Linked DNA regions of Mus musculus. The protein of the gene in region 1 interacts with the protein of each later gene in a pairwise test. Links are inferred from orthologs where the notes say so. Each region holds a gene or a part of one and is shown on either strand. Other genes may lie near its edges.

Region 1 (3,596 bases):
TAATACAGTGGCTATAAAGTAGTTGAGACAGCACTCTCGCTGGTCTGTAGTGTCTGATAAGAATTTGCATTCTGTGCCTGGTTCTGCCCCTGTCTGCTTCTTTCCCAAAGTTCTAGGCTATTCCTAATTCATATATATTTTACTTTAAGCTTTTCTGAAAATTAATTTTTTAAACTGTTGGTCTGTAAAGGATTACAACTTTGCCTTGTTTGGCAACATAGAGGCCTAAAGGGCAACCCACGGATGAGCCAGGTCGTGAAACCCTTGTATTCCTAGATACCTAGAGCATTTGCTCTTAGAGGCAAGTCTCTTTCCTTGGGTTCTAGAACTTAGAGCGGTAGCAGCAAGGTTCCTGATACATGGTTCTTTTTGTGTAGAGTTCTTTTTTGGACAGCCTTCCTCCACTGGTGCTAATTTATAAGAATTGAGTGCTCTTCTAAATGTTAGTGTAGAGCTTTGTGCTCTATCTAAATACACTTTCCCCTTTAAATGAAAGTATTTTGATGTTTGTATGACAAGCTTCTCTTTCTTTGATACTCTGTTTTCTCTACTTTATTTTCCTTCTCTAAAATAAAAAAGGTCTAACTCTAACCTCTTCATTAGCAATATAAGTCTCTAAGAACCCCTTACTATTAGAACAGTACTGTCTGCACATTTGGGGATATTTACAGGTCTAACTTTAAAAGACTAAAACAGATCTATTAGAGGAGATGTGAAATGTGGTGTCGTAACTTCATTTAATACAATTCGTATAACTTATAGCATTGGCTCTAAGAAAAGGAGGCTTAAGAGCCTCTCTTTGGGAACTGAACATTTTCTGTACCTTGGGTAAAAGTACACTAGAATGTCATAGTATTACTTTGCAGGAATCAAAAAAGAAAACTGGATTTGGAGTTTTTAATTGGTGTGGCTTTGGGCATGGGCCTTAATTCTGCAAACTTGATTCTTAGTCGGTAGAACTGGATTGCATTTTCTCCCCCATGATACTACAGAAACAAATGAGAACTGTAAAGTGTTAGGTGAGAATCTGCAGTGCATTGTGTGGTGGACCCCCTTGGTAAGGAAACTGAAAGCATTCTTACTGTAAAGGTCAGGTCCATCTAACTCAAGAAAAACCTACAAAGACTATTTAATGTAAGAAGAGTTACTGCTGTAATGAGTGGCAGGCATAGACTTGTACCATAGTTTTAAAAACCTGGTACTGGTAGCACATGCCTTTAATCCCACACTTGGGAGACAGAGGCAGGTAGATCTCCAAGTTCAAGGCTAGCCTGGTCTACAGAGAGTGTTCCAGAACAGCCCAGGGCCACACAAAAATCCTATCTCAAGAATATTCTTCAAGCATCAGTTTATTACATGTTTATATCAATCTTGGTTTACATGTATTAAAAAAAAACAAAAAACAAAAGTCAGAAATCCTCAATTGCATGGAGTTTACATTCTGGTAGTGGAGGGAGACAGTAGTTGAGAATAGGTGGGTATCAGGGTGAGAAGGTGACGTCTGAGCAAATACTTGCTGGAGAGGAGATGCTGCTGCCAGTTTGGAGGCCACAGTTCAGACAGAGGTCTCGAGGTAGAAACAAACCTGCAGGTAGTGGCAGGGACCCCAGTGTGGCAGAAGTGTGACTCACAGGAGGTGAAGTGGGGTGGGAACCTTGGTGACTTGTCTTTTACGCTGAGGAAATAAATCTTTTTGAAGACTTAGGTGCAGAGAAGGAAATGTCTTATTTAATTGTTTTTTTAAGAGTTGAGGCGTAAACCCCAGACTTTCTCATGCTAGGCAAACATTCTGCCACTGAGCTATATCCCCAGCCTTGTATTTTTGGTTATGATTTTAGCTGCTCATCGTGTTGTATGATGCAATTAGGAATTTCTTTTTAATGAGAATAAAGGATAACATTTCCTCAGAGTGAAAGGTAACGTGTGTTCTCTTTGTTTAAATCTAAGGTCAGCTTCGCCTTACCATGGCTTTACCATTGTCAACCGACTGAACATGCACAATCTGGTTGAGCCAGTGAATAAAGATTTGGAATTTCAGCTCCATGAACCATTTCTTCTGTATAGAAATGCAAGTTGTGAGTATATCTGTTTGCATTTAACAGAGTGACTTTAATTTCAGAACATTGGGTTTCAAATTATACTAAATATGGCCTACATTATAAATGTGTGTCTTGGTAAAAGATCAAATTCTTTTTAAATGTATATGTTTATGTGTATGAGTGTTTGTGTGTATGTGTGCACAGAGACCCCAGCCCATGTGTGGAGATGAGAGGACAACTTTCAGGCATTCTATCTTTCTACCATGTGGGTTCCAGGTATGACTCGGGTTGTCAGGCTTGAGGGTGTGTCCCTTCACCAGCTGTGCCATTTCACCAGCCCCAAAAAGCAAACATTTTAAGTTAGCTCTAAAATTGAATAGGCCTTTGCACATAACTGACTTAGGTTATTTTAGTGAACTGTCCCATCTAGGCCAGTTGCTAGCATCATAGTTGTGTATGTTATGAGCTGTCATGTCATTTGTTTTGCTGTAGGGCTGAGCTGTCTGCTGCTGTCCCTGAGCAACAAAACTTAGTCTGACAGACACAGTGAGCGCAGACACTCAGCTTTCCACAGAGAAAGCCCTTCACCATGGATGGTGACACTTTCAACCCACGAGTCTAATAGTGTCCAGTAGGTACAAATTCTGTGCCAAAGCCGTTGTGCTTTCATGATAGAGAGCAACCTATGCCGGGTACGCACGTGGTTTGGGGACAAGACTCGAGGTGTATGGCATACATTTAGTTGGAGAATTCTAGGCCAAGGTCTTGTCAGGCATTTTTACAGTTTGTAATAGCTGTTGAATTTAGTCAACAAAGCTCAGAGTAGCCCTTTCCAGAAGAGTGTAGATGTTCCTCACCTCACCAGTGGCATTACTTGCTGGTAGAGCTATCATAAGTTGAAAGTTTGTTAATATACTTAAGCTATTGAATGCCAGAGCTTAGCAACACAGTATACTATAAAGTATCAGTTGTTCCTCCACCGTGATCATATGGGATTGGGAACTGTGACTCGTTGTTACTGTACAGTACTGAGGGAAGTATCCCACTGTGTTATTTCTATTCCTATCACAAGGGAAATGTACAGTCCAAACTTTTTTTTACTCAGTACATACTACTTTCATAACATTTATAAGCCAAAGGGGGGGGAAAAAACTTAAGTCAGATTATCATAAGTATGGGACCATCTGGACAAGAAAGTATAGTTGAAGATCAAGGCTTTAGCTCAGTGGTAGAACACTTAGTGTTCATGTGCTTTGGGTTGGATCTCCAGCCAACACGAACGTGGTGTACGTTGCATTCTGATAGTTAAGTATGATGTTAGAAGTGTGACTGAGGACAGGACAGTTTGCTTATTGTTGACCCAGGAGAGATACCAAAACAGAGTGGTGATTTAGAAAGCTGGATGCCTTGCCTGTCCTGGAACTCTTTGTAAACCAGGTTGACCTTGAACTCACAGAGATCTGCCTGACTGCCTCCCCAGTACTGGGACTAAAGGCATGTGCCGCCGCCACCCAGCATTTCTTGCTCATTTTTAAGTATCTACATAAAATAGGATCT
Region 2 (4,204 bases), on another chromosome or scaffold:
TCTGTCCTGGAGGGTCCAGCTGGGTGAATGGCTCGCAGAGGGGTCTCCCTGGGGCAAGGTGTGTGGCTGCCCCTAGGGGTGGCTGGTGGGGTCCAGAAAAGGGTCCGGAGCTTTGCAGCATCCCCCACGGCCATCCGAGACCCCTCCTTGCTAGTGCCAAACAGTGACTCATCGCAGTAGGATGGGGCATGGCCAATCAGCCTGAAAAAGGGAAGGGCACTGTGACCGGTGGTGGCGATGATCCTAAAGCCCTCTGCAACCTCACTTCCCACGATAAAGTAAGGCAGCAGAGCCTGCCTGGTACCCACAAATAAGCCTGACATTCTTTAATACAATGACAGGTATAGGTCCAAAGCAGCTCAGGGCTTCCCGCTCTCTTCTCCTGGAGACAAAAGGACAGATGACAGACCCCTTCCTGAATCTGCTCAGCTCCAGATTAATGGGAGTGATTAGGCCCATTAAGTGCCACATAAACAGAAGTAGCAGACACTGTCGCTTAGGGACAGCAAAAAGGCTCAGTGGGTAAGGGTGCTTGTGGCCAAGACTGGCGGCCTGCAGCCTGAGTTTGATCCTCCGCATGCACGTAGTAGAAGGAAAGAACTGACTCCAACAAGTTGTCCTTTGGCCTTTACCAGTGCACATCCCTCCCATCCCAAAACAACCAAATATAAATGTACTTTTCCAAAAAAGTCTATGTGAGCTCAGCAGAAATACATTATTTTTGCTTGAATAGTTCCCCTCCTCCCCAGAATCTCCTTTAATAAATTTTTATGGGGCTGGCGAGATGGCTCAGTGGGTAAGAGCACCAACTGCTCTTCCACAGGTCCTGAGTTCAAATCCCAGCAACCACATGGTGGCTCACAACCACCCGTAATGAGATCTGACACCCTCTTCTGGTGCTGTCTGAAGACAGTTACAGTGTACTTATGTACAATAATAAATAAATCTTTGGGCCGGAGCAACCAGGGCTGAGAGAGTGGGACGGACCAGAGAAAACAGGGTTGGTCCAAGTGAGCGGGGAAGACTGGAGCAAGCAGAGGTCCAGGTCCTAAATTCAATTCCCAACAACCACATGAAGGCTCACAACCATCTGTACAGCTACAGTGTACTCATATACATAAAATAAATCTAAAAAAAAAAAAAAAAAAAAAAAGAACCAAGGCGCTTGGCCATGGCCACACAACAGGTCCCTAACAAGCTGTTCCAGGAGACCTGACGGCTACTCTGGTGGTCAGTTTCAATTGCCAACTTGGCAAGATCTGGGATCATCAGGAAGGAGAGTGGCAGAGAGCAATCAGCTATGTCAGGCTGGCCCGCTGCCATACCTACGATAGACCTTCCCCTTAGTACTAGTGTTTTACCTGCACATGCCTGGGGTGTCAGAAGCGGGGGATGGGGGTCAGATACCCTGGGACTGAATAAAAGCAAGAGAGTGTGCTGAGCATGCAATGTGACCAACCATCTCCACCCCACACTGCTGTGACTTCTTATAACCAAGGAGAGCAACTCAAACCCTTTCTTGCCCAAGTTCCTTCTGCCAAGAGTATTTTATCACGGCAACCAGGAAAGGGACCAAGACAGCCACCCTTAAAACAGGAGTGCACCCCCCACCTTACCTGTATTTGTTTTTCTTCCTTGGTGTGAGGTTTGGGGTGCTGCCCCTGGAAGAGGGGGACTCACAGTCTCTCTTGGCCAGAGAGCCCTTCGGTGGTCCTGGGCCCACTCCTCTGGATCGGTTACAATTCTGCACCCAGGGTGGGTCAAAGTCTGGTTGGGCAGGTCTGGTTCTTGCTGGGCTGCCAAACAGGGTCTCATCCACATAGGATGCCCTGGCCTTGACCCTGTAGCTGGTGGGACTGCGGTGCTGAAGGTGGAGGGCTTTCATTCCGCTGCTGGGCCGGTGCCACCGGGGTCTTCACGTTGCCCAGTGGGTGTGGTGTGCCTGACAGACTCAGCCTCCAGGGCTCCCTGTAATAGGGGTCGGAATGAGCAATCAGCTTTTCCAAGTAAGAGCAGCAGCTTGGAATAACAAGCCCAAGGGCAAAAAGGGCTTTTTCTTGCTGAGGGAAAGCGACTGGTTTTTCTCAAAGGACTACTGTTGTTCAGTGGACACCTTGGAAGTGCTTCACTTTCTTGCCCGTCCCCGACACCCAATTTCAGTAGTCCAAGGTGGCCTGAAACTCACTATATTAAACTTTATTATATAGCCAAGAATGACCTTTAACTCCGGATCCTCCCGCTTCTACTTCCCACGGAGAACTGCACGATCGCCTGGCGTCTGAGGTGCATGGGTCAGGCTAAAGCAGGCACTGTCTTTTTAGTTGTGAAGACGGGAGAAAATGCCGTCAGCAAATATTTAATGAATAAGTAAATACACAATTACACCCTACAGTGTATGCTCAACAAATATAGTACGACTGCGGGCGTGCAGGGGAATGGCACCAACCAGACAAACTAATTAGGGTGGAAGAGGGAAAGGGGCTCCCAAGCTACTGTCGCCCCCCATTCCTACCTTGTGCAAAGCGCTTTGCAAACGTGGTGCGTTCCAGTCCTCGCCAACCAGTCTCATACGAAATGCATTTTCCCCGAGTCCAGCTCAGGCTCCCAACAGCAGAGTAGCAACGCACCGGCCAGCTTACAGAGCTGAAAGCGCAGGCGTCACGGGATCTCCATGCCTGGTGCTTTTTCTCCTGGAGCCTCCGGCCAGAAAGCTCTGTCTCCGCCACATTTAAAGCCTCATAGCACAGAATCAGCAAGGGCGCCACAGCGACACGCGCCCACCCGCATCCCTTGCTGGGCAACCGGTGCGACGCCCCACCCCTGCGCACTGGTACGTCCCTATACCCCGCCCTCGCGCTGATGGTACGTTCCACAGGCCACACCCCCAGCCTCATCTGTACATCCATTAGGCCCCGCCCCTTGGTAGGGTCAACCTTGCGTGGTTGGTACATTCCTCGAGTTTGTCCACACGTTCAGTTGTTATGTCCCTCAGGTCCTGCTCTCTTTACAGTTACCACATCTCTCACAGCTTGGCATTCGCGCAGTTAGTAGGTCCCTTAAGCATCTATCACGGTTCAGTTGACACATTCCGCCCCCACCAGTTGGTATGTCCCTCAGGCCTCGCCTCTGCCCGGCTGGTACACCACTTAGGCCCCGCCCCCGTTCTGTTGGTTCCTCCTTCTGGCTTCGCCCATTGATAAAGCCATGTTGACGCTCCGCCCCTGCGAAGTTGGTTGGTTTCCTCAGGCCCGGCCCCGCCCTACGGGTGAAACCTGGATTCTCGACGCCGCTCTTGCGTCTCACAGGCTCCGCCCCCGCGCAGTCGACGCGTCCCTTAGGCCCCGCCCTCTTCCGGGTCTAAGAGCCCGGCCCGCATGGCTGCTGGCAGACGTGTGGGACCTGGCCCGCCGTCGCGTCCCACCATGGCGCCGTGGAAGAAGAAGAGGCTGCGGAAACGCCGAACTGGGGCTTCCCAAGGCCGCGACAGCGACTCGGATGACGGCGAGTTCGAGATCCAGGCGGAGGATGACGCCCGGGCGAGGAAGGTAAGAGCGCGAGGGGGCTCCCTGTTCGGGCTCTCGGCCTGCGCCCTTCCGCTTGTCCGTCTCACTAATCGCGGTCCCTCATTGGGTCCCTTCGCGTGGGGGACGGGCTCGAGTTTACGCAGCCAATAGAAAGTGCAAGTGCGGAAGGTCCGCCTGAGTTTGGGGCGGTCTTAGATGAGAAAATTAAAGGGAAGGCCGGACCACTCTTCTGAGAAGCCGGTTTTAAACTAAACTAGTATTTACGGACTTATGTCGTGCTCTAGCTATGCCAGGCTCACCAGCAATGTCAGGGAGGACAGCAGGATTGGAACTGGGGATGGTCCGGTTCCAGTTGTATTCATCTTGGGGGATAGGTGTGATCACCAAGTGGGGCACAAAAGCCTATCGTTCATGACGCCCATCGTCTTGTGCATAGCGGGTATATCTGGTTCTCCATTTCTCCTTCCCAGCTCAGTCAATGAGCTGCACTCGTTAAGTGGTCAGTAAATGTGCAGAGACAGCTAGAGGCAATGAGAACGCTGGTGTTCATTGGCAAATACAAGAAGGCTGCTCCCGTGGTTCAGACCAAGGGTTTTGCTGAGGCCCAGTCCGGCACAGGCTGGCTGTAGTAAGACGTAATAAACTTTACAAGTCAAAACCCAGCCTGTGGGCTCTGAATG

What was found. The genes of interacting proteins can lie anywhere in the genome.
Region 2: the proteins of Dcp1a (region 1) and Rita1 interact in binary tests that used the Homo sapiens proteins (3 or more experiments, as listed by UniProt). The two-hybrid records come from large-scale screens. The link is inferred for Mus musculus from reciprocal best matches to the Homo sapiens genes DCP1A and RITA1.

Annotation. Positions count from the first base shown.
Region 1 is NC_000080.6:30,482,512-30,486,107, forward strand, and holds part of Dcp1a (mRNA-decapping enzyme 1A), read left to right. Parts: intron 1-1,947; coding exon 1,948-2,075; intron 2,076-2,082; exon of another isoform or gene 2,083-2,731; intron 2,732-3,596. UniProt on the Homo sapiens protein: Necessary for the degradation of mRNAs, both in normal mRNA turnover and in nonsense-mediated mRNA decay. Removes the 7-methyl guanine cap structure from mRNA molecules, yielding a 5'-phosphorylated mRNA fragment and 7m-GDP.
Region 2 is NC_000071.6:120,609,762-120,613,965, forward strand, and holds the start of Rita1 (RBPJ-interacting and tubulin-associated protein 1), read right to left. Parts: upstream 2,829-4,204; 5' UTR 2,513-2,828; intron 2,314-2,512; exon of another isoform or gene 2,219-2,313; intron 1,969-2,218; 5' UTR 1,886-1,968; coding exon 1,617-1,885; intron 202-1,616; coding exon 1-201. Other genes in the region: ATP-dependent RNA helicase DDX54, read left to right, coding at 3,375-3,545. UniProt on the Homo sapiens protein: Tubulin-binding protein that acts as a negative regulator of Notch signaling pathway.